6 linked regions of the Ovis aries genome follow. Each later gene encodes a partner of the first gene's protein in a complex. Links are inferred from orthologs where the notes say so. Each region holds a gene or a part of one and is shown in the gene's direction. Other genes may lie near its edges. The genes, in order: CRNKL1, PPIL2, DHX16, PLRG1, BUD13 and CWC27.

Region 1 (3,500 bases):
CTTTGCCCTGCTTCATTCCACATTCCAAGGCCAAATTTGCCTGTTACTCCAGGTGTTTCTTGACTTCCTACTTTTGCATTCCAGTTCCCTATAATGAAAAGGACATCTTTTTTGGGTGTTAGTTCTAAAAGGTCTTGTAGGTCTTCATAGAACCGTTCAACTTCAGCTTCTTCAGCATTACTGGTTGGGCATAGACTTGGATTACCAAGATGTTGAATGGTTTGCCTTGGAAACGAACAGAGACCATTAAAAATACTGCATGTCGGACTCTTTTGTTGACCATGATTGCTACTCCATTACTTCTGAGGGATTCCTGCCTGCAGTAGTAGATATAATGGTCATCTGAGTTAAATTCACCCATTCCAGTCCATTTTAGTTCGCTGATTCCTAGAATGTCGACGTTCACTCTTGCCATCTCTTGTTTGACCACTTCCAATTTGCCTTGATTCATGGACCTGACATTCCAGGTTTCTATGCAATATTGCTCTTTACAGCATCGGACCTTGCTTCTATCACCAGTCACATCCACAGCTGGATATTGTTTTTGCTCTGGCTTCATCCCTTCATTCTTTCTGGAGTTATTTCTCCACTGATCTCCAGTAGCATATTGGGCACTGACTGACCTGGGGAGTTCCTCGTTCAGTATCCTATCATTTTGCCTTTTCATACTGTTCATGGGGTTCTCAAGGCAAGAATACTGAAGTGGTTTGCCATTGCCTTCTCCAGTGGGTTAATACTTAGCGAATGCTTAATATGTGACAGCATTTGTCCTAAACGTTTGCACATACTCTTCCCTCACGTCTTTCTCCATCTCAGATGACTCTCTAGAGCCTGTCCTTTAGGTCCCGTTTGGATGATTCCGGGAGAGAGTGCATAGAAAGCACTCAGCACAGTTTCTGGCACTTAATGTTCATTAGATAGGCGCCCTCAGCATCGTCATTGCACACATGGCATTAAATACTTAGTATTTCTTATAGTTCAGTTCCATAAACTTCTGTTGGGCTCCACAGTTCCCATAAAAATTTAATGTAATTTTAAGTTTTGTCATAGCTACAGTAAAAAAAAAAAAAAGGTCAAAACAGGTGACATGAATTTTAATTATATGATAGGAACTTACTGAATACGTCTTTGACTTGAAATGCCATGAAAAATCAAAGACGGTTATCCACCTGGGGCCAAGGCAGAAATTGAAGGATTCTGCAAATAGAGGTTGAAATGCCAGTTAAGGCATGGTGCACATCTTGATAAGACGTCCGGTTAGAGTTTTACCTAGGCATCCTCAAAATTTATTATACTATTCTAAAAGAGAAATGTTGTTTTTGCGACCTTTCCTCTTGAGACTTTTATCTATGGCTTTGTGATAAATACCTTGCATGAAATTTAAAAGTTTGTGGTTTTGTTTTTTTTTTAGTTTCATAGAGAAATGGGAGCATGTCATGCAAAGGGGGCATCTTGTAATAGCGTTCATAAAGTTCACATTCTAAAAAAAGTTCATTTGTTTCTTACACGTTGTGTGAAAAGCATCTGCTAAAAATGGAAATGTCTCCTGTGTTAAAAGGTGAAAAACAAAGCCCCAGCTGAAGTACAGATCACTGCGGAGCAACTGCTAAGAGAAGCTAAGGAGAGAGAACTTGAGCTTCTTCCACCTCCCCCTCAACAGAAGATCACAGATGAAGAGGAGTTAAACGATTACAAACTACGGAAGAGGAAGGTTGGTCTGTTTCAGTCTGTCAATATCATTAAGAATTTATAGACCAGAGTTTGAAAAGTTCCTCACTGATAAGAGACTATAAACTAAGAAGAATTTAGTGTTTCTGGCCACCTGCGTAATGTGACTTCTGCTCACCAAGTGGTTCCATTATCGCTAAACTTCATAAAATAACCACGAGTTGTCTGTCTTACATTAAATCCACCACGGACAGAATTTTTAGTGCTGAATCAAAGACGGGTGGGAGTTTGCCAGGCAGAACAACTGACAGCTGAGGAGGGGCAGAAGCAGTGAGGTTGCGCCATGTTCTTCTGTCTGTAGCGGCCTTCTGTGCTGAGAGGTAACACCTGGGCTAGAGCCAAGAGGACCTGGGGATCTGATCCAACCTCCCCCACCCCAGGATGTGGGATTATTTTTTTTTAAATCCTCTTTGTTTGCCTATAAGATTTTAAAGAAACACTTGTGACTTTAACCTTCTTCAGTGGGTTTCTTATCTCTCAAGGATCCCAGGATGTAATTTCTCTTAAATAAGAGCAAAATGAATAAATTTCTTAGTACAAGGGTTAATAGACAAAAGACAATGTCATCTTTAGTTGTTTTCCGTTTAATTTGACCCTTTTTGCCTTTTGCCAGACTTTCGAAGATAACATAAGAAAAAACAGGACTGTGATTAGTAACTGGATAAAATATGCACAATGGGAAGAGAGTCTAAAGGAGATTCAGAGGTAAAGTCACTGAGCATGTAACTCTGTAAATAGAAATCCTTAAGTTACCAGATACAAAAACACAGAAGTTAAAGCAAGTGTAAAACCGTGTGCCTCTGATAATAATAAAATAAAAATTTATAGAGTTTGTTCCTTGGGACCCTAGGGTTCCTTTGAGGGGCCTCAGGAGCGCTATGGTGGGCTGGTCCTGCGCGGGGAACAGTGAAGCAGGCTCTCCAGGTGGGTCTCATCACCAGCACACACTCTGCAGCCAGAGAAGTGCAGTTCCATCCATTTTCTCCATATTAGGAAATTCGTTTTTGTTTTTTTTTTTTTTTTTAAGAGTTAATGTTCCACTCAAAACCAGTGGCCAACAAAATGAAATCATGACCTGACCCTTCCTGTTGTCCCACCTTCCTGTGTTCTCCCTACTGGCCAGGCCCAGAACTCACCGCGTCTCCTCACCCTGATGCCAGCAGGGACCCCCCCCCTCCCCACTTATCTTGGTACTGGGGACTTTGCCCAAGTTCTCACCTACTGCTTAACTAACTTTTCCACTTGACATTTTTCTTTCTTTCCGCTCTGCTTCCTTGTGCAGACCTTCACTGTAACATCACATTGCATTGCAGTTACATGTATGTCAGCCTTTCTCTAAAACTTACAAGGTTCCTGAGAACATAATATCTTTTCACCTTTTTATGCCCAGAACGTCACTCACAGTAAACACCTGAAAAAATAGCCGAGCCTTGGAGGGGGTTGCCAGGTGTGTGGCGTGTGCTGTAACTGATATCCTCCAAATCTGGCTTCTCAAGGGCTCGATCCATATATGAACGCGCCTTGGATGTGGACTACCGAAATATTACACTATGGCTGAAATATGCCGAAATGGAAATGAAGAATCGCCAGGTCAACCACGCCCGGAATATCTGGGACCGAGCCATAACAACTCTGCCTCGAGTCAACCAGTTCTGGTAAGTTCCTGATCTAATGAAATGGCTTTTTGTAGACTGTATTTGCACATTTTTGTGTGTACATGTGTTTACATTTATTTATTTATTTGGCTGCATCGACTCTTAGTTGCGGTATGT
Region 2 (3,500 bases), on another chromosome or scaffold:
GCCCCTGCCCCTACCAGGCAGGGCCTGGGGCTGGGAGACCCCCTTTGAACAGTTGTCCAGGAAGGTAGGTGTGCTGAAGACAGGCTGTGGTGTTCACTGCTCTCCCTAACACAGCAGCTCTTAGCATTTTGATGCATTTTCTTCTGATAGGAAGAAATCTCTTTTTTGTGTGTTTAGAAGGAAAAAGACATTTTATCGTGCATGATTTTTTCCTGTAGGACCTTGAAACCTTTAAAAGGGCCCTCAAGTGCCTGGTGCTCTGAACCTCAGAGGTGCCCACACTCTGCCTGGCACGCTTTTCCAGGTTTCACTTAACACGAGGCTTGGCAGCCAGGCTTTTGGTGCGGTTGAAGCCGAGGGTCGCGGCTCTCCCTGGGCCCTGCGGGAGAGGCCAGCGTGGGCTGGGCGTACTGTCTGCCCAGGAGGCCCCCTGGCGGCCAGGGGTGGTGGAGAAAGGCGAAGGGCAGGCCCGGGGCAGAGGGGCGGCCCCCGTGCTGAGCGCTGGTGCGGTTTCCCCGCAGGCCCACTACTCCACCGGGAGGGTCAGCGCCTCCTTCACGTCCACCGCCATGGTTCCCGAGACCACGCACGAAGCAGGTAGTATCTAGCCCCACTCCCTGTCTGCGGTGGCTGAGCACAGGCATCCCCCTGCCCGCCTCGGCTCTGTGGGCTTGCCGGCAGCTCACTAGTGGTCAGGCGGGGACGGGTCCTTTTGAAAGTGGGCTTGTGTCTGGGTGGGGGGCCGCCCCGCCCAGGCCCCAGCGACCTTCTTTGCTGGTCTTCACTGGTCAGGGCCCACCGTCCCCCAGCCCCTTCCTCCTCTCCCCGTGTTGGCCCCTGGTGCCCGCCCTCCCCCTGGGTCCCCAACCCCGGACAGGCAGGCAGCTCAGGCGTCTCCTCGTAGCGGCCATTGACGAGGACGAGCTGCGCTACCAGTTCGTGAAGAAGAAGGGCTACGTTCGGCTGCACACCAACCTGGGCGACCTCAACCTGGAGCTGCACTGCGATCTGGTGCGTGGGTGCCCCCCCCCCCCCACCGGGAGCCCAGTGCCGCCGCAGGTGGCCAGGCTCACCAAGCCCACCGGCTGAGGCCCGGCTGCGGGCCCCGGGAGCCCCTCCCACCGTCGAGGCTGCTGTGTGGCTCACAGGAGCCTTCGGCCTGTTGCAGACCCCGAAAACCTGTGAGAACTTCATCAGGCTCTGCAAGAAGCAGTACTACGACGGCACCGTCTTCCACCGGTCCATCCGCAACTTCGTGGTGAGCGCCGACGCCGGCTGCCCCCCCCCGGGTGTGGAGTCCTCCCCGTGGGGGTGCTGAGCCCCTGGTCTCCAGGGGCCTTGGGCCCCAGCCCAGCTGTCCACATCGAGCTGGTGGGGGAGATCCCATTGTCCCTAGCAGAAGCTGGGGGCTCATGGCGGGGCTCCTCACTGGCGTGCTCTTCCCACAGATCCAGGGAGGCGACCCAACGGGCACTGGCACAGGTGGGTGCTGGCGCTGGGCCCCTGGGGTGCCAGCTGCGCCGCGGGCCCAGAGCCACAGCCTGCGCCTCCAGCCCCGTTTCCTCGCTCCGCCTCTGTGGCGAGGCCTCGGGCCCCCAGGGGCCCCCGTCTGGCCGCCGACTGGGGGCTGCTCCTCCAAAGCTCCCCAGCTTGCCGGCCGCTTGGGACAGACCACCCTCCCTCGTGTGGAGTTTATTCTGAGGGCCTGGGGCTGGGGCTCCCGGGCAGCTGGGGGTGGGGGCCCGTGGGCAGCTGGGGCTGGGTCCCCACGAGCAGCTGGGGGTGGGGCCCCACGGGCAGCTGGGGGTGGGGGCCTGTGGGCAGCTGGGGCTGGGGCCCCATAAGCAGCTGGGGGTGGGGCTCGGGTCGCGGTCATCCTGCTGCTCCGGCCTCTCTTCCAGGCGGGGAGTCGTGCTGGGGGAAGCCCTTCAGAGACGAGTTCCGGCCCAACCTCTCGCACACGGGCCGCGGGGTGCTCAGCATGGCCAACTCCGGGCCCAACACTAACAAGTCTCAATTGTGAGTTGATGGGGGCAGGGGGCGGACTCCGCGGGCTCTCAGCCTTGCCCTCAAGGTCGTGCCCACCTGTGTCTGTCGAGCCAGGAGGCCGTCCCAGCACTTAGGCGTTGCCTGTCTAAGGCCGACATTGTTAGCAGGAGGCAGGGGACGCCCGGGACTGCTGCACCGCAGCCTCGCCGCTGCCTCCCCACGGCAGTCCTCAGGAAGGAGGAGTGTTCAAGACACTGAGCTGTTTAGCTATGTTTCAGATGCTTTCCCAGATGTTACAGTCCATGGGAAGGTGGGGGGTGTGTGCTTTGGCCTGCGCTGGAGTCCGCCTCTTGTGCGGGGTCCCAGCTGTGCCTTCGTGCGTGTCTGGGAGGCCGTGGGGGCACAGGGCGTGTCTCTGAGTGGTCCCGGTGCCTCTGGGAGCTGCCCCTCAATGGGTGGACAGGGCTTTGCTGCTGCCGGATGGTGAGGGTGCCCGTCGGCCTGGCGTGGCTTGTTGGCCCCCGGCTGTCTTAGGCACCAGTGGAGCAGGACGGGCCCCGTCCAGTGGCCTGGGGGACTTGTTCCCAGTGGTTTTCTCTGTACCTGCTTCAGCGGGGCCCCTGGGGAGCGGCCCACAGAAGAGGGACCTCCCGCCAACCACGAGGAGGGGCTTCGGGCTGCCCTCCCGCGCCCGCGCCCCTGAGGGCGGCCCCTGCGCTGTCTCCTGTCTGCTTTGCTAAAGTTGTTTATCCTCCGGCGTGGACATGACTCCATTTGGAGCCGCGTGACGTGTATTTTAGAGGATCAGGCAGCGTGAGAGCCTCCATGTGGGGGTGTGCCTCGGCTTTTCAAGGACGTCTTCTATCTTCTCAATGTGACTTCACGGCTCCTGCTCACGGGTGCCCTGCCTTCCTGCAGGCAGCTGCTCCTGGGGGGCTTTGTGGTTTGTGACAGCTTGAAGCGGCGCTTCTCTTGGCTCGTTCTGGGGGGCGGTCGCTCCGTCCCTGAGGGGCGTGTATTCGGGCCCTCACCCGAGAGCCGAGGCTTTGTGGACGCTTGCGTTCTCAGCTCGAGGGGTGGTGGACTCAGGCCCCTCCAGGCCGGGCTGTGCGGGCCGGTGAGCAGCGCTGTCACCTGGCCCGGCTCGCGAGCCTGCCCCTCCAGGCGAGGTTTTGGGGTTCGTGTGCTCCTGGGGCATCTGCCATGGGTCATGCGTTTTCCTCCCGTAGGCTGTGGGTGCAGCCCCGGGGGCTCAGCCTCCCGGTCGTGTCCGTGTGTCTGTCCTGGCTGAGACTGTTGACAGTGCACCGTCCCGTGTGGGAGCTTGGCCTGGCGGTGCTGAGGCAGGCGGGTAGGGAGGCGTGGGCTCTGCCTGACCACCCCGTCCTTCCCCAGCTTCATCACCTTCCGTTCCTGCGCTTACCTGGACAAGAAGCACACCATCTTCGGGCGGTAAGACGCTGGGCAGGGTCTGTGTTGGGGGTGGGTGGCCGCCTCCCCCAGGCCAGGCC
Region 3 (4,091 bases), on another chromosome or scaffold:
AAATGTTTAGTTTCCCAACACAGTGTCAGATAAATCCAATTAATTGTACAAGTATGAAGCAGAACCAGAGGCCAGACAGCAGTCAAGCAACAAGTTCTGCTTATTTAAAATTAAGCAGACACCAGTGACTTTCTCAAGCTGTTAGCAAAAGAAAAAAAAAGCAGAATACAATTTGCATATTTCTTAGTTTGCAGATCTTTTAAAATAACATTATGAGATAGCACCAAGAAAAGAGGGTACCTTTGCTTGTTCTCCACATCTTGAGTTTTCATCTGCCTGGAGTCCTTGATAAGCCTAACCTGTATTCATGTCTTGCAGAAGGTCCTAGCAAAGGTCACTCCTAATTAGTTGATCTGTAACAAGCATGGACCTGATCTTCTAATTTGAATGCCCCACCCCACAAGCGCCCACACACACCTTGCATTATTTTTGGCTCCATATAACTTAGTATTTTATATTTTTATCTTGTCTCTGTCAGGCTGGTCCCCACCCCCAACCCTCTGCCACTGTAAATTCAGTAAGCGATTTGTTTCTGATTTGTTCCTTGCTATATCCCTGGGTACTAAAACTGTGCCTGGCCCACACTGAAAGTGTTGGTCGCTCAGTTATGTCCGACTCTTTGTGACCCCATGGACTGTAGTAGGCCAGGTTCCTCTGCCCATAGAATTCGCCAGGCAAGAACACTGGAGTGAGCTACCATTTACTCCTCCAAGAGGGTCTTCCCCACCCAGGGATAGAACCTAGGTCTCCTGCATTGTAGGCAGATTCTTTCCTACCTGAGCCACCGGGCATTTTGCTGCTGCTGCTGCTAAGTCGCTTCAGTCGTGTCTGACTGTGTGACCCCATAGAGGGCAGCCCACCAGGCTCCCCCATCCCTGGGATTCTCCAGGCAAGAACACTGGAGTGGGTTGCCATTTCCTTCTCCAATGCATGAAAGCGAAAAGTGAAAGTGAAGTCGCTCAGTCGTGTCCGACTCTTCGCGACCCCATGGACTGCAGCCTACCAGGCTCCTCCATCCATGGGATTTCCCAGGCAAGAGTACTGGAGTGGGGTGCCATTACCCACCTGAGCCACCAGGCACTTTAGGTTCTTAATATAGTTGAATGAAATGAATGGGTGTAATACTCACGAATGATCAACAGAGGGCAACAGAAATTCAGTAGGGGAAGAAATGAAAATGTTTTATTCCGAGCTTCGCGTACAATTACGCGAGATTTGAACTCGCTCGGCCACCGTAGTGCATAGGCCGGAAAAGAGCAGCCACTTCCGGCCTCAGCGGTCCAGGAAGATTGTTTTGGACTATCGGAAACCGAACCCCTCGGTTCTCAGGCAGCTCCATTCCGGAGCAGAGGCTCCATCCTGGAGCTCTAGGCCCCCGACCCGCCCGGCCGCCGACGTGGCAGCTGGAGACACTTTCAGGGCCGGGAATAGGGAGCGTGTTGTCGCCATGGCGACACCGGCGGGGCTGGAGCGCTGGGTGCAAGACGAGCTGCACTCGGTGCTGGGACTGAGCGAGCGGCACGTGGCCCAGTTCTTGATCGGTACCGCGCAGCGCTGTGCCTCGGCAGAGGAGTTCGTGCAGCGCTTGCGAGACACCGATACCCTGGACCTCAGTGGGCCGGCCCGGGACTTCGCCCTGAGACTCTGGAACAAGGTGCTGGGAGAGGCGGGACCGGGCGTGGGAGCGGCGGGAAAGTGGGTGGAGCAGGGGAGGGGCCCCCAGGTTACTTGTCCAACGGAGTTTGGGCTCACTTGGGCTAACTGTCCAACGGAGAATTAAGCTCAGTTTGCAAGCAGTTATCACTTTCGGGCTGGACGACCACTTCCGTGGAGAAGGTTGAGGAGGGCTTAAGGGTTGACTCATTGGAAAAGACTGATGCTGGGAGGGTTTGGGTGGGGGCAGGAGAAGAAGGGGACGACAGAGGATGAGATGGCTGGATGGCATCACGGACTCAATGGACGTGAGTCTGAGTGAACTCCGGGAGTTGGTGATGGACAGGGAGGCCTGGCGTGCTGCGATTCATGGGGTCGCAAAGAGACGGACACGACTGAGCGACTGAACTGAACTGAACTGAACTAAGGGTCTACAGAGCAGTGTTTCTCAAACAGGTTTAGGATTCATCCACGGCTTTTGTTAAAATGAGGATTCCGATTCGGTAGGTCTGGGATGGTTTCTTCATTTCTTCATTTCTAACAAATCTTGTAAGTTTTCGGGTGATGCTGGGTGTTGCCCACCCTTCGAAGAGTGAGTCTATAGAAGAGATGTGTGGGCAGTGTTGTGGGAGGGTAGAAGTGGTGTGGCTGTGATCGAGAAAAGCAGGCCCAAAGATTATCTGGAGTTTGTTGGGTAAAGAAAGGGGAAGAGTAAAGGTGTAATGGTGAGCTCCTGGAAGGCAAGACTGTGATTTTTGTCTTTGTATTCATACCATCTAATTGTAACCTGCAGAACAAGAGCTCAGAAATTATACAGTAAGACTAAAAGTGTTGAACTTGTTCATGGCAGATAACTTGGTGTGGCTGTCCCATTTGCACTTGGTGAAAGATGAGAACGTACTTGATGTGAGGGTAGGAGCTCTGTGTTAATCCGTTCACCAGGGTATCTCTGGAGGCCACTACAGTGCTGGCCCGTGACAGGGCTCTGCAAAACAATCTGGACAATCCTTGTCCAGTCCTTGGGTAGGAATGACTTAGTCATCGGGAAGAACAGAGGCTGAGCAGTTGAGAATTGAGTGTGAGAATGTAAAGTCCATGAGGGCAGAAAGTTTTATCTCTTTACCCCTATATCTCTAGTACCTAGCAGGGGGTGCATGGGATAGGCTTAGGAACTGAGAGACCCCATTCGGGCTGATGGACATGGTGTGAAGCCTTGGGGAAGAGACAGAATGACAGCTGGTTTAAGATCAGTTACTCCTTAAATTAGGAACTGGGCAGAGTAGGTGGGCAGAGATCAGGAGTTGCTTACATCCCCTTGACTTCTCTCTCTCCCGACAGGTCCCACGGAAGGCAGTGGTGGAAAAGCCAGCTCGGGCAGCCGAGCGAGAGGCCCGAGCCCTGCTGGAAAAGAACCGCTCTTATATGTTGTTGGAGGACAGTGAGGAGAGCAGCGAGGAGACTGTGGGCAGGGCTGGGAGCAGTGTCCAGAAGAAGCGGAAAAAACGGAAACACCTCAGGAAGAAACGTGAGGAGGAAGAGGAAGACGAGGAGGAGGAACAAGTTTCTGAGAAAGGAAAGAGGAAGACAGGGTAAGTCAGAAGTAGGGGGCGAGAGGGTGATGGAACAGGAAGCCTCTGAGTGCCCTCAGTTAATCCTCCGGGGTGGGCTGCAGGGAGAAGAAAGAGCAGACGGAAAAGCCGGAGTCGGAGGATGAGTGGGAGCGGACAGAGCGAGAGCGCCTTCAGGACCTGGAGGAACGCGATGCATTCGCTGAGCGGGTTCGGCAGCGGGACAAGGATCGGACTCGCAACGTCCTGGAGCGGTCAGACAAGAAGGTGCATTGGAGCAGCACTTCCCATCAGTCCCCAGGCAGACCCCTGGATCCGATCTGAGGTTGGGTGTGACCGCAGATAGTGATCTCTGGGAAGACAAGGAGCCGCCTCCAGTAGTCTGGTCATCTCTTTGGGTCTTTGGGCTAAGGTGGCTCTCTGCTGAACCTGTAACCACAGAGATTCCTCAGTGAAGGGGGTACATTTCTTTGTGCTAGGGAACATCTGAGTGATCCTTGTGATTCTAGACAGGAATGGCTGTGGGCACGGGGACTTTGACCACTCTTGCCTTCTCCTAGGCTTACGAAGAGGCTCAGAAGCGCCTCAAGATGGCTGAGGAAGACCGGAAAGCCATGGTGAGTCCGTGTGCCCAGGAAGACAAAGGGAAAGGCTTCCTGATGGAGTGGTTAGGGTAGGGAGGAAAGATGCAGAGGAGGTGTGGTGGGGCTGTTGGGTCTCTGGTTGAGGCGCCAGCTAAGGATAGACTTAAACTGTAGTGGGAAGGAAGTGGCCCAGAAACCCTCTGACTCCTTAGGATCAGATCAGACTGTATGTTAGTGAGGGAAGTATTTCCCTGTTCCTGGGACTTAAAGAGGTGTACTCAAAAGG
Region 4 (3,500 bases), on another chromosome or scaffold:
CCACAGGACTGGAAAAGGTCAGTTTCCATTCCAGTTCCAAAGAAAGGCAATGCCATAGAATGCTCAAAGTACTGCACAATCGCACTCATCTCATATGCTAGTAAAGTAGTGCTGAAAATTCTCCAAGCCAGGCTTCAGCAGTATGTGATCCGTGAACTTCCAGATGTTCAAGCTGGTTTTAGAAAAGGCAGAGGAACCAGGGATCAAATTGCCAACATCCACCGGATCATGGAAAAAGCAAGAGAGCTCCAGAAAAACATCTATTTCTGCTTTATTGACTATGCCAAAGCCTTTGACTGTGTGGATCACAATAAACTGTGGAAAATTCTGGAAGAGATGGGAATACCAGACCACCTGACCTGCCTGTTGAGAAACCTATATGCAGGTCAGGAAGCAACAGTTAGAACTAGACATGGAACAACAGACTGGCTCCAAATAGGAAAAGGAGTACATCAAGGCTGTATATTGTCACCCTGCTTATTTAACTTATATGCAGAGTACATCATGAGAAACGCTGGGTTGGAAGAAGCACAAGCTGGAATCAAGATTGCCAGGAGAAATATCAGTAACCTCAGATATACAGATGATACCACCCTTATGGCAGAAAGTGAAGAGGAACTAAAGAGCCTCTTGATGACAGTGAAGGAGAAGAGTGAAAAAGTTGGCTTAAAACTCAACATTCAGAAAACGAAGATCATGGCATCTGGTCCCATCACCTCACAGGAAATAGATGGGGAAACAGTGGAAACTGTCAGACTTTATTTTTCTGGGCTCCAAAATCACTGCAGATGGTGACTGCAGCCACGAAATTAAAAGACGCTTACTCCTTGGAAGGAAAGTTATGACCAACCTAGATAGCATATTCAAAAGCAGAGACATTACTTTGCCAACAAAGGTCCATCTAGTCAAGGCTATGGTTTTTCCAGTGGTCATGTATAGATGCTAGAGTTGGATTGTGAAGAAAGCTGAGCACTGAAGAATTGATGCTTTTGAACTGTGGTGTTGGAGAAGACTCTTGAGAGTCCCCTGGACTGCAAGGAGATCCAACCAGTCCATTCTGCAGGAAATCAGCCCTGGGTGTTCTTTGGAAGGAATGATGCTAAAGCTGAAACTCCAGTACTTTGGCCACCTCATTCGAAGAGTTGACTCATTGGAAAAGACTCTGATGCTGGGAGGGATTGGGGGCAGGAGGAGAAGGGGACGACAGAGGATGAGATGGCTGGATGGCATCACTGACTCGATGGATGTGAGTCTGAGTGAACTCCTGGAGTTGGTAATGGACAGGGAGGCCTGGCGTGCTGTGATTCATGGGGTCGCAAAGAGTCGGGCACAACTAGTGACTGAACTGAACTGAAAGCTTTTTCTGTATTTTAAATTTTCTGTATTGTTTTTCTGTATTTTCTGTATTGCTTTGTTCTTGTTTGCCAGAAAAAGTATTAAAAGGTCAGACATTCTTGAAGTTGATATCCAAAAGTTAAATTATTTTCCAAACTGGGTGAATTGATGCTTACAGCATATGAGAGGATCCTTTTCAGGACATTACTTACGTTTCTTCGAAAATACCTACTAATATGATGGGCTCCCCTGGTGGCTCAGCGGTAAGGAATCCGCCTGCAGTGTAGGAGATGTGGGTTTGATCCCAGAGTTGGGAAGATCCCCTGGAGGAGGGCATAGCAACCCAGTCCAGTTTCTCGCCTGGAGAATCCCATGGACAGAGGAGCGTGGCAGGCTACAGACCATAGAGTCGCAAAGAGTTGAACGTGACTGAAGCAACTTAGCACACTAATATAAGTAGAAAGGAATATCTAATCTTTAAAAAGGAAAACTATATATAAAATTTGTAGTGAGGTTGAACTTTTTAATACTTTATTTGCTACTTTGCAGGATTTTTTTTTTAAGTTGATGCCATCCTTGACTAATTTAATACCTCAGTATTCATTCTTTGGCTCAATACCCTTTATATATTAAGGACTTTTTGTCATCTATGCAAATACCTTCCCAGTTTGAGCATGCCTTTTAATTCTCTTTCTCCTGTTTTTATTTTTGGTGATAGAGTTATTTTGCAAACTTTGATATTTTTATATGTTTTTGTCTTTCACTTTTGAAGACAATTTTCACATTAAGATTCTAAACATTTGCTTTGAAATAATCAGCAAGAATAAAATTAAGCATTTTTTGATTGCAGATCTGGGACTTGGCTAGTGGCAAGTTGAAACTCTCGTTAACTGGGCACATAAGCACAGTACGTGGTGTGATAGTGAGCACGAGGAGCCCGTACCTGTTCTCCTGTGGAGAAGACAAGCAAGTCAAATGCTGGGATCTCGAGTATAATAAGGTATGTGTGGAGTTGAGGACAGAAATCATCATGAGCCCCTGTTTATCTTCCCAGTTACAGATATGTTAACTCTCCTCCCTTCTTTTTTAGGTTATAAGGCACTATCATGGACATCTGAGTGCCGTGTACGGCTTGGATTTGCACCCGACCATCGATGTGCTGGTGACCTGTAGCCGAGACTCAACCGCACGGGTGAGTGCACTGGAGCCCGTCTGTGCATACACGGCCTCCTGCAGGGTGCTGGCTCGATCCTGAGGTCTGTGTTTCTGGATAGAGAATTTCAAGATCCTTACTTTGACCCGTCAGTATCCCTCCTAGTCTTCATCCCCAGCTCTGTGGCCTCGCCATGTCCACTGTTGGGCGCCTGCCCCCGAAATGTGACAGGTTATTTCATTTACACACTTTCTTCATTCTATTCAGACAGGTCCACACAGTTTTCTAGTCAATTCCCATGCTTGAATTGATCTTGTTACTTGCCTGAAGATAGGAATACCTGTTTTCATTGAGGTATTGTGTGCTGTTTTTATAGATTTGGGATGTGAGAACTAAAGCCAGTGTACACACATTATCTGGACATACTAATGCGGTGGCTACAGTGAGGTGTCAGGCTGCGGAACCACAAATTATCACTGGTATGATCCATACTTCTCAAGTTTACGGTATATTCATATCAGGATGCATTATGGTTATATACTTCTTATGTTTACTCTGATTCTTGCTTTGTGTTGTATATTTAGTGTTTCTGTGTGCACTTGAAATTTATTGTGGTAACATTTAATTCTGTTTTTATATCATAAGTTTTATATATCATAGAATCTTTGTATCATGTAATGTCTGACTAGAAAGTAGTGCTGTTAGATACAACTAAGTGCTGTTTTATACTTTCAAAATTAGCAGTCTAAGAAATTAATGTTAGAAGACGCACTACCCCTGACTTTTAGGACTGATCTGAGTCTTGCTTTGCTTAAAATATGGTTAATAGCAATGAATCTTCAAGACTAGAAAATAATTCCTTCCCTTGTTTTGTTCAAATAATCATGAGAGTCTTTGCCTTCCTCTCCACTAGGAATGACGTTATGCATTTGTCTTCACAGTTGTTCTGGCTCTTCAGATTAAGCGTTGATTACATTTAATAATTAAAATCAACCAGGTATTTTGAAAGAAT
Region 5 (3,500 bases), on another chromosome or scaffold:
ATAGACATGGGCATGCAGCAGGTGATCAGTAAAGTGCTGATCCTTCTTTCTTTCTGGTGCTCTTGCTGCTTTTGATAAGGAGCACAATGGCATGGATTAAATAGCTCACAGGATTTCATTTTGATGTGGCATGGAATTATTCAGTTTGCCTTTTGAGAGAAGAGTGGGTGCAAACTGAATTGCCTAAGTTAGATATCAGTGGGAGCTTCTCATGGAGAATTCCATACAAGTAAGGTTTGGGGAAGAGCACTGGATTGGGATTAGAAGTTCAGGGTTCTAGCCTGTCTCTTCGTTTTAGTAGCAGTGACCCCTAGGTAGGAGACCACTCAGCTTCTTAGGGTCTCTGTTTTCATGTCTGTAAAACAAGGGTACCTGCCCTGCTTGCCTAACAAGATACAACATGAAAAATACATTTAAAGTGCCTTGCAGATTATGACCTGTTAGGCAAACGTGAGTGGTTTTTCTTAGGATATTCATGAGTGCTACTTTATTGCCCTGAAGTAGCTGTGCGTATCTTTTGGGCTTTCTTAGTAGTTTTGAGATGTATCCTGCTGGGGTGTTTTTTGAAACTTTGGTTGTAGGGGTGGCAGAGCATTTGTGGGAATCTGATTCTTTGCTATTTGTGTTTAGGCCAGAGTGAAGATATACCCTCACACAGACAGTTCTGTCATGACATCCCGGACTCATCTCCTCCTAGGAAGGTTCGTCATGACACCCCAGATCCATCTCCTCCTAGAAGAGTTCGTCATGACACCCCAGATCCATCTCCTCCTAGAAGAGTTCGTCATGACACCCCGGATCCATCTCCTCCTAGGAAGGTTCGTCATGACACCCCGGATCCATCTCCTCCTAGGAAGGCCCGTCATGACACCCCGGATTCATCTCCTCCTAGGAAGGTTCGTCATGACACTCCGGATTCTTCCCCTCCTAGGAAGGTTCGTCATGATACCCCAGATCCATCTCCTCCTAGAAGGACCCGTCATGACATCCCAGATTCATCTTCTCCTAGGAGGACCTACCACAGTTTCTCAGATCTCTCTCCTGCCAGAAGGGCCCGTAATTGCTCCCCTGACACAGCTCAACCTAGAAGGACTCTTGACTCTGTGGATAGATCACAGCTCAGGAGGGCCCATCATAATTCCACTGACTTGGCTGCTAATGTTCCTCACTCACTGCTCAGAACCAAAAGCAGTGAAGCCCCAGAAAGCTCTAGCAAAACTTCTCCACATTGGAAGGGGCCAGGACCTTCTCATCCATCACTCCCAAAGAATAGCAAATATGAGTATGACTCAGACCTCTCTCCTTCACGAAAAAAGCAGGCAACATCCCATGTTGGAAGTAAGCAACATGATTCTAAAGGTGAGCATTTGTCCATGAGAGGGACTTGTTCCTAGAGTGCTTTCTTTTGGAACTTTTAGTTGCTTTACTAGGTATTTGTGGTCTTTAGAAATGAGAATGGAGCTTTGGAGTTTTAAAAACTGGAGGGAAATAGTGAGAGATTGGGCTGAAGAGAGTTAAAAATTAATAGTAGTAGGGTAGAAGTTTATATATATATTTTTTTGTTCATTTTCCCCACCCCATGAAAATACTACATGTTTGTTGCAGAAACTTTGGAATGTATAGAAATGTAGAAAAGGATCACACACAATTCTGTCCAGTCAGAGGCAGTCTCTCTCTTGTAGCCAGTGTTCTTTTAGTCTTCTTTTCTAATCATTTTTGATGTAGTTTGGACGTGTCTAGGCAGTAAGTAAATATTGCATGTGTAATCTTGCTTGCTTTTTTCACTTAGCATTATCTTTCCTGAGTCATAAAATATCTCTTTGTTAATATAGTTTTTGTTGGTGTTCCAGTAACCATTCCCCTAATATTGCATATTTTAGGTTATTTCTAAACCTTTTCCTCTGTAATTCTGTAATGAACATCCTTATACACAAACTGTTGCTCTGTTCTGGATTTCCGTATCTATTTCTAGATAGACTTTCTGGGAATTGAAGTGCTGCTAGATACGTTTCCTAGGGTACAAAGTAGAAATTGATTTGCTGGCTCAGCCGGGTTCTTTGCTTATAGGACTGTTGATAGGTATTGCAGATTGCCTTTGGAGGAGGTGATTTGTGATGCCTATGTCTACAGCTCACCTGTGTGATGAAACTTGTTTGCTCCATCGTTTGTCCCTAGGTACTGCTTTAGTTTTTAATTCAAATACATTGTTATGTTTTAGTCAGAAGACCTCAGAATATATTCTGTGTGTGTGTGTTAGTCACTCACTTGTGTTTGACTCTTTCTGACCGTAGCCCACCAGGCTCTTCTGTCCATGAATTCTCCAGTAGAATACTGGAGTGAGTTGTCACTTCCTCCTCCAGGGGATCTTCGTGACCCAGGGATCAAAGCTGGGTCTCCTGCATTCGGGCAGATTCTTTACCATCTGCGCCACCAGGGAAACCCAGAATATATTCTAATATATTCTAGGTCATCTTAACTTGCTAGGGCTTCCTGGGTGGCTCAGATAGTAAAAGAATCTGCCTGCAATGTGGAATACTTGGGTTCAATCCCTGGATCAGGACGATCCCTTGGAAAAGGGAATGGCAACCCACTCCAGTATTCTTGCCTGGAAGATTCCATGGAAGAGGAGCCTGGAGGACCACAGTCCATGGGGTTTCAAAGAGTCGGATACGACTGAGCGACTAACAACGCCACTGAGCCCTGAGTTCAGTTTGTTTTGGCCACTCTATGTGTGGGTAAATAGGGCACAGATGAGGATGTTGAGATGTCTTGTGCTAGTCACAGTAACTAGTGCTAGTAACTAGTAACTTGGGAATAGAACCCCACCCATTGGTTTTAAAAGTTATCTCTGACTTTGCTCTTCCCCCTTGTCATTTATACTTACGTTTAGGTTAGTGATAGTTCCTCACAAGAGGACTAAATGAATGTTGAACATTAGCCTGGTACATTATTTTTTAGATTCTGCCAAGGGGATTAAAATCTTTACTCTTCAATTTCTAGGCTCTTCCCCCACCCATAAGAAACATCATACAAGCTCTCCACCCAGGAAACATCAGAGTCACACATTGGACTCTTCTTCCTACCCAGGGGACAGTAGGAAAACCTCTGATTCAGATCTTTCTCCTCCACGGCACAAACAGAGTTCAGGGCCCCAGGATTCCGATTCCGATCTGTCACCTCCGCGGAATAGACCTAGGCATCGGAGCTCTGATTCTGACCTCTCTCCACCAAGGAGAAGGCAGAGGGCCAAATCTTCTGATTCTGATCTGTCTCCACCTCGAAGGAGCCAGCCTCTGGGAAAGAAGGTAAGAACTTTCAGGAGCCATGTCTTGGTTTAGAGGAACTCATCTCCTAGCTCTGTACAGGTCTCAGAGATCCAGGCCAGAGAAATCTAGCTCACAGGACCTCTAGAGCGCTTTTCTTCTCTCTGAAGGCAAGACTGTCTGACTCAGTCCAGGGGAACTTGCAAGGAGCAGATTTCCTAAATAGCATCTGCCTTT
Region 6 (2,783 bases), on another chromosome or scaffold:
CTACAGGATGCCAAAACATCTGGCCAATTCAGTTTAAAAAAAAACAACAACCCTATCAGCATAGATTTCTTCAGTCAATCCAGATGTTTGGCGTCCTGTAGACAAAACATCCAGATGATTAACTGAAGATTTGACAGAGTTGACTGAATTAACCAGATGTTGCAGCATTGTAGAGACATCGTGTCAGGACATTTGTTTGGCTGGAGTGGGGTCCAGCTGTCAAGGAGATAATGGTCTGGGCAGTGAGGGAGGACTGGAGCTTGCATTTGATGCAACTGGGAGCTGCTGGAAGAGGCGTGTGATGGAAAGGATGCTTAAGGAAGAGGATGCTAACAACCATGTGAAGGAAAAAATATGGTGAGAGGAAAAGTTGTAGACAGGAAAGAGGATGTGTGAGTAGAGTGCAGGTGTGTGTGAGGTAATTAGAGCCTGGACCAGAATCAGGCGGGGGAAAGAAACAGGAAGGAGCGGATCTGAAAAACATTACAGAGAAAGAACAGGAAGTCATGATGGGCTAGACAAGGGGGTGAAACTGCACATCACCCCAAGGGTGGAAGCCTCCAGGCCTGGGAAAGCAGCTGCCGTCAGCCTCGCCACAGTAGTAAACCAAGCCGGGATCCCCAAGAGACCTCCCCCACGCACCTCCATCCAGAGGCCAGAGCCAGGCCTGCAGGCGGAGGGAACCTGGTTGGAGACCACAAACACAACTCTTATGCCAGGTTCCCTGTTCCTTTTAGAGCCACCTAAATGATTTCCCTTCAAATCCAATTTCATGCAAGGATTGAGAATGCTAGATTAAGACCATTAGGTAGACACAACTTCAGCCAAAAAAGACAATATTTTGATGTAATTTGCCTTTATACTGTATATCATGTAAACTAAGATCTATAGAGGTATGACTAAATTAGATGAGATTAAGAGAAATTATAAATATAGTACCTATATTACCTAGTTAAGCATTATAAAAGCCTGTTAACAGGCACAACTAATGGCTGAATTCAAGAATTTATATATCTTTTAAAGTCCTAAATTTATGAAACCTTGGAACATTGACTCTTGGTTTGGATATTCTGCAGATTTTATCTCGATAAAGAGTCACATACTCTAAATTACTAGGATCCAAACTATGGTAACTATGGTAGTGTGCTCCTATTTATTTTTAAAAATTCCAAATATTCATGGTTTTGAAAATTTGCAGTTTCAAATGTTTTCAGCCCCAGGTTTATCAGCCCACACAACCAGTGCGTGCCCTTTACAAAAACACCCAGGATTTCTTCAACTGTTTCCTTGTTCATTTCAGGAGGCAAGAAACCATCAACAGAGGCTTGTTGCTGTTGTTCAGTCGTTCAGTTGTGTCCGACTCTTGCAGCCCCATGGACTGCAGCACGCCAGGCCGGCCAGTCCCTCACCATCTGCCGGAGCTTGCTCAAACCCATGTCCATTGGATCAGTGATGCCATCCAACCATCTCATCCTCTGCCTGTCAACAGAGGTTACTCTCTCTTTGTTCATGGTTTAGAGCAAAACCGAGAATTTCTCTCTTTCTCTTTCCCTCTCTCTCCCCTCCCATCTCTCTCTCCTTCCTCCTCCCCCCACCAGAGAAACAACACAGAATGTGAGACCATAAATATATTGCTGTGCTCCAAATCACCATGGGGGAGGTGGAAGGGTCAGGAAACTTGTTAAAATCAATTTCCCAGGCCTCAGAAATGACAAGTCTGTTGATCTGGGGTGGGAGCCCAAGCATCTGTTGCTTTTTCTGTTAGATTTTTAACAAACTTCCCCAACAATTCTGATGCCTGTTTCCTGAAAATCAGACTTAGATGCTGCCCTAAAGCAGAAAGCTAGAGAATGAAATACATCTATTGGAAATGCAATTTTAAAATGGTAAAACGTGGATTAAATTTTTTATTACACATCTCTTAGTCCTTCCTTAATGTAATAGTGCCTAAGTAAATTCACTGTGTTCTGTGATATGCAGAATGTTTCACAGAAACTGCATAAAGTCAAGCACACCTATGCAATCAAGCTAGAAGTGCGGAAGACAAATAGGACAGCTCGTCTGTTCTCAATTCACAGCAGTGGCTATGGCAGCCCTTCCCGAGCACAGTGTGTACATGATGGGAAATATAATTAATGATCTTGGTAAGTATTTCTAGTGCTCCAAGGCTGAGTAACTTATCAGATAGAAAAAACAGTTGAGTTCACCGAAACAATGGGTGATTTATCCAGGTGTGTTTGAATATAACCTTCCCACAGCCATCTTTTTGTAAGAAATACTTCAAAGTTAGTAGATAGCAAACTATTCAAAAAGTTAATCAGTGAAATGTCCCCCATCATAACATCAAGATTACAGTGTTTGTTCTCTACATATAATACCTTAGGTATCCTTTTCTGGCAGTACTAAATCTGCTACAAGAAATATTAGTGAATTTTTTTTCCTGGTACTAAGGCTTCATTTGCCTTAAGCTCAACTCACTCTCAGAAGTCTTTTCCCCAAAGGATATAGGAATGAGAATAAATTGAGAGAACCTTATTAGGGGCCCTTCATTACCTAAGGTGTAACAATTAAAAGTCAGATTTACTTTTATTGTGCTTTGAATGATGCTTTGGAAACAATCAAGGGTCTCATATGTAACTCAAGCAGTTTTGACTTGAGTAGTAATTCTTTCCCACTTCGCATTCTCCTGCCACTTTGAAATCTCATCTGCAACCATGGGGAATGGGAGAAAATTAGGACAAGCTAGGATTACAAAAGAAAACCCTTAGGAACTTTTAGAATAT

What was found.
Region 2: CRNKL1 (region 1) and PPIL2 share a complex: the UniProt entries of both Homo sapiens proteins name them as parts of the minor spliceosome. The link is inferred for Ovis aries from reciprocal best matches to the Homo sapiens genes CRNKL1 and PPIL2.
Region 3: CRNKL1 (region 1) and DHX16 share a complex: the UniProt entries of both Homo sapiens proteins name them as parts of the minor spliceosome. The link is inferred for Ovis aries from reciprocal best matches to the Homo sapiens genes CRNKL1 and DHX16.
Region 4: CRNKL1 (region 1) and PLRG1 share a complex: the UniProt entries of both Homo sapiens proteins name them as parts of the minor spliceosome. The link is inferred for Ovis aries from reciprocal best matches to the Homo sapiens genes CRNKL1 and PLRG1.
Region 5: CRNKL1 (region 1) and BUD13 share a complex: the UniProt entries of both Homo sapiens proteins name them as parts of the minor spliceosome. The link is inferred for Ovis aries from reciprocal best matches to the Homo sapiens genes CRNKL1 and BUD13.
Region 6: CRNKL1 (region 1) and CWC27 share a complex: the UniProt entries of both Homo sapiens proteins name them as parts of the minor spliceosome. The link is inferred for Ovis aries from reciprocal best matches to the Homo sapiens genes CRNKL1 and CWC27.

The regions. Positions count from the first base shown.
Region 1 is NC_056066.1:39,178,476-39,181,975, reverse strand, and holds part of CRNKL1 (crooked neck-like protein 1), read left to right. Parts: intron 1-1,558; coding exon 1,559-1,711; intron 1,712-2,341; coding exon 2,342-2,433; intron 2,434-3,224; coding exon 3,225-3,383; intron 3,384-3,500. UniProt on the Homo sapiens protein: Involved in pre-mRNA splicing process. As a component of the minor spliceosome, involved in the splicing of U12-type introns in pre-mRNAs.
Region 2 is NC_056070.1:72,121,805-72,125,304, reverse strand, and holds part of PPIL2 (RING-type E3 ubiquitin-protein ligase PPIL2), read left to right. Parts: intron 1-521; coding exon 522-597; intron 598-904; coding exon 905-1,011; intron 1,012-1,168; coding exon 1,169-1,258; intron 1,259-1,448; coding exon 1,449-1,482; intron 1,483-1,901; coding exon 1,902-2,019; intron 2,020-3,384; coding exon 3,385-3,441; intron 3,442-3,500. UniProt on the Homo sapiens protein: Has a ubiquitin-protein ligase activity acting as an E3 ubiquitin protein ligase or as an ubiquitin-ubiquitin ligase promoting elongation of ubiquitin chains on substrates.
Region 3 is NC_056073.1:27,451,630-27,455,720, forward strand, and holds the start of DHX16 (pre-mRNA-splicing factor ATP-dependent RNA helicase DHX16), read left to right. Parts: upstream 1-1,291; 5' UTR 1,292-1,447; coding exon 1,448-1,654; intron 1,655-2,991; coding exon 2,992-3,242; intron 3,243-3,325; coding exon 3,326-3,488; intron 3,489-3,781; coding exon 3,782-3,838; intron 3,839-4,091. UniProt on the Homo sapiens protein: Required for pre-mRNA splicing as a component of the spliceosome. Contributes to pre-mRNA splicing after spliceosome formation and prior to the first transesterification reaction.
Region 4 is NC_056070.1:3,080,058-3,083,557, forward strand, and holds part of PLRG1 (pleiotropic regulator 1), read left to right. Parts: intron 1-2,185; coding exon 2,186-2,335; intron 2,336-2,425; coding exon 2,426-2,527; intron 2,528-2,864; coding exon 2,865-2,967; intron 2,968-3,500. UniProt on the Homo sapiens protein: Involved in pre-mRNA splicing as component of the spliceosome. Component of the PRP19-CDC5L complex that forms an integral part of the spliceosome and is required for activating pre-mRNA splicing.
Region 5 is NC_056068.1:27,154,194-27,157,693, reverse strand, and holds part of BUD13 (BUD13 homolog), read left to right. Parts: intron 1-630; coding exon 631-1,359; intron 1,360-3,000; coding exon 3,001-3,305; intron 3,306-3,500. UniProt on the Homo sapiens protein: Involved in pre-mRNA splicing as component of the activated spliceosome. As a component of the minor spliceosome, involved in the splicing of U12-type introns in pre-mRNAs.
Region 6 is NC_056069.1:14,570,939-14,573,721, reverse strand, and holds part of CWC27 (spliceosome-associated protein CWC27 homolog), read left to right. Parts: intron 1-1,300; coding exon 1,301-1,685; 3' UTR 1,686-2,783. UniProt on the Homo sapiens protein: As part of the spliceosome, plays a role in pre-mRNA splicing. Probable inactive PPIase with no peptidyl-prolyl cis-trans isomerase activity. As a component of the minor spliceosome, involved in the splicing of U12-type introns in pre-mRNAs.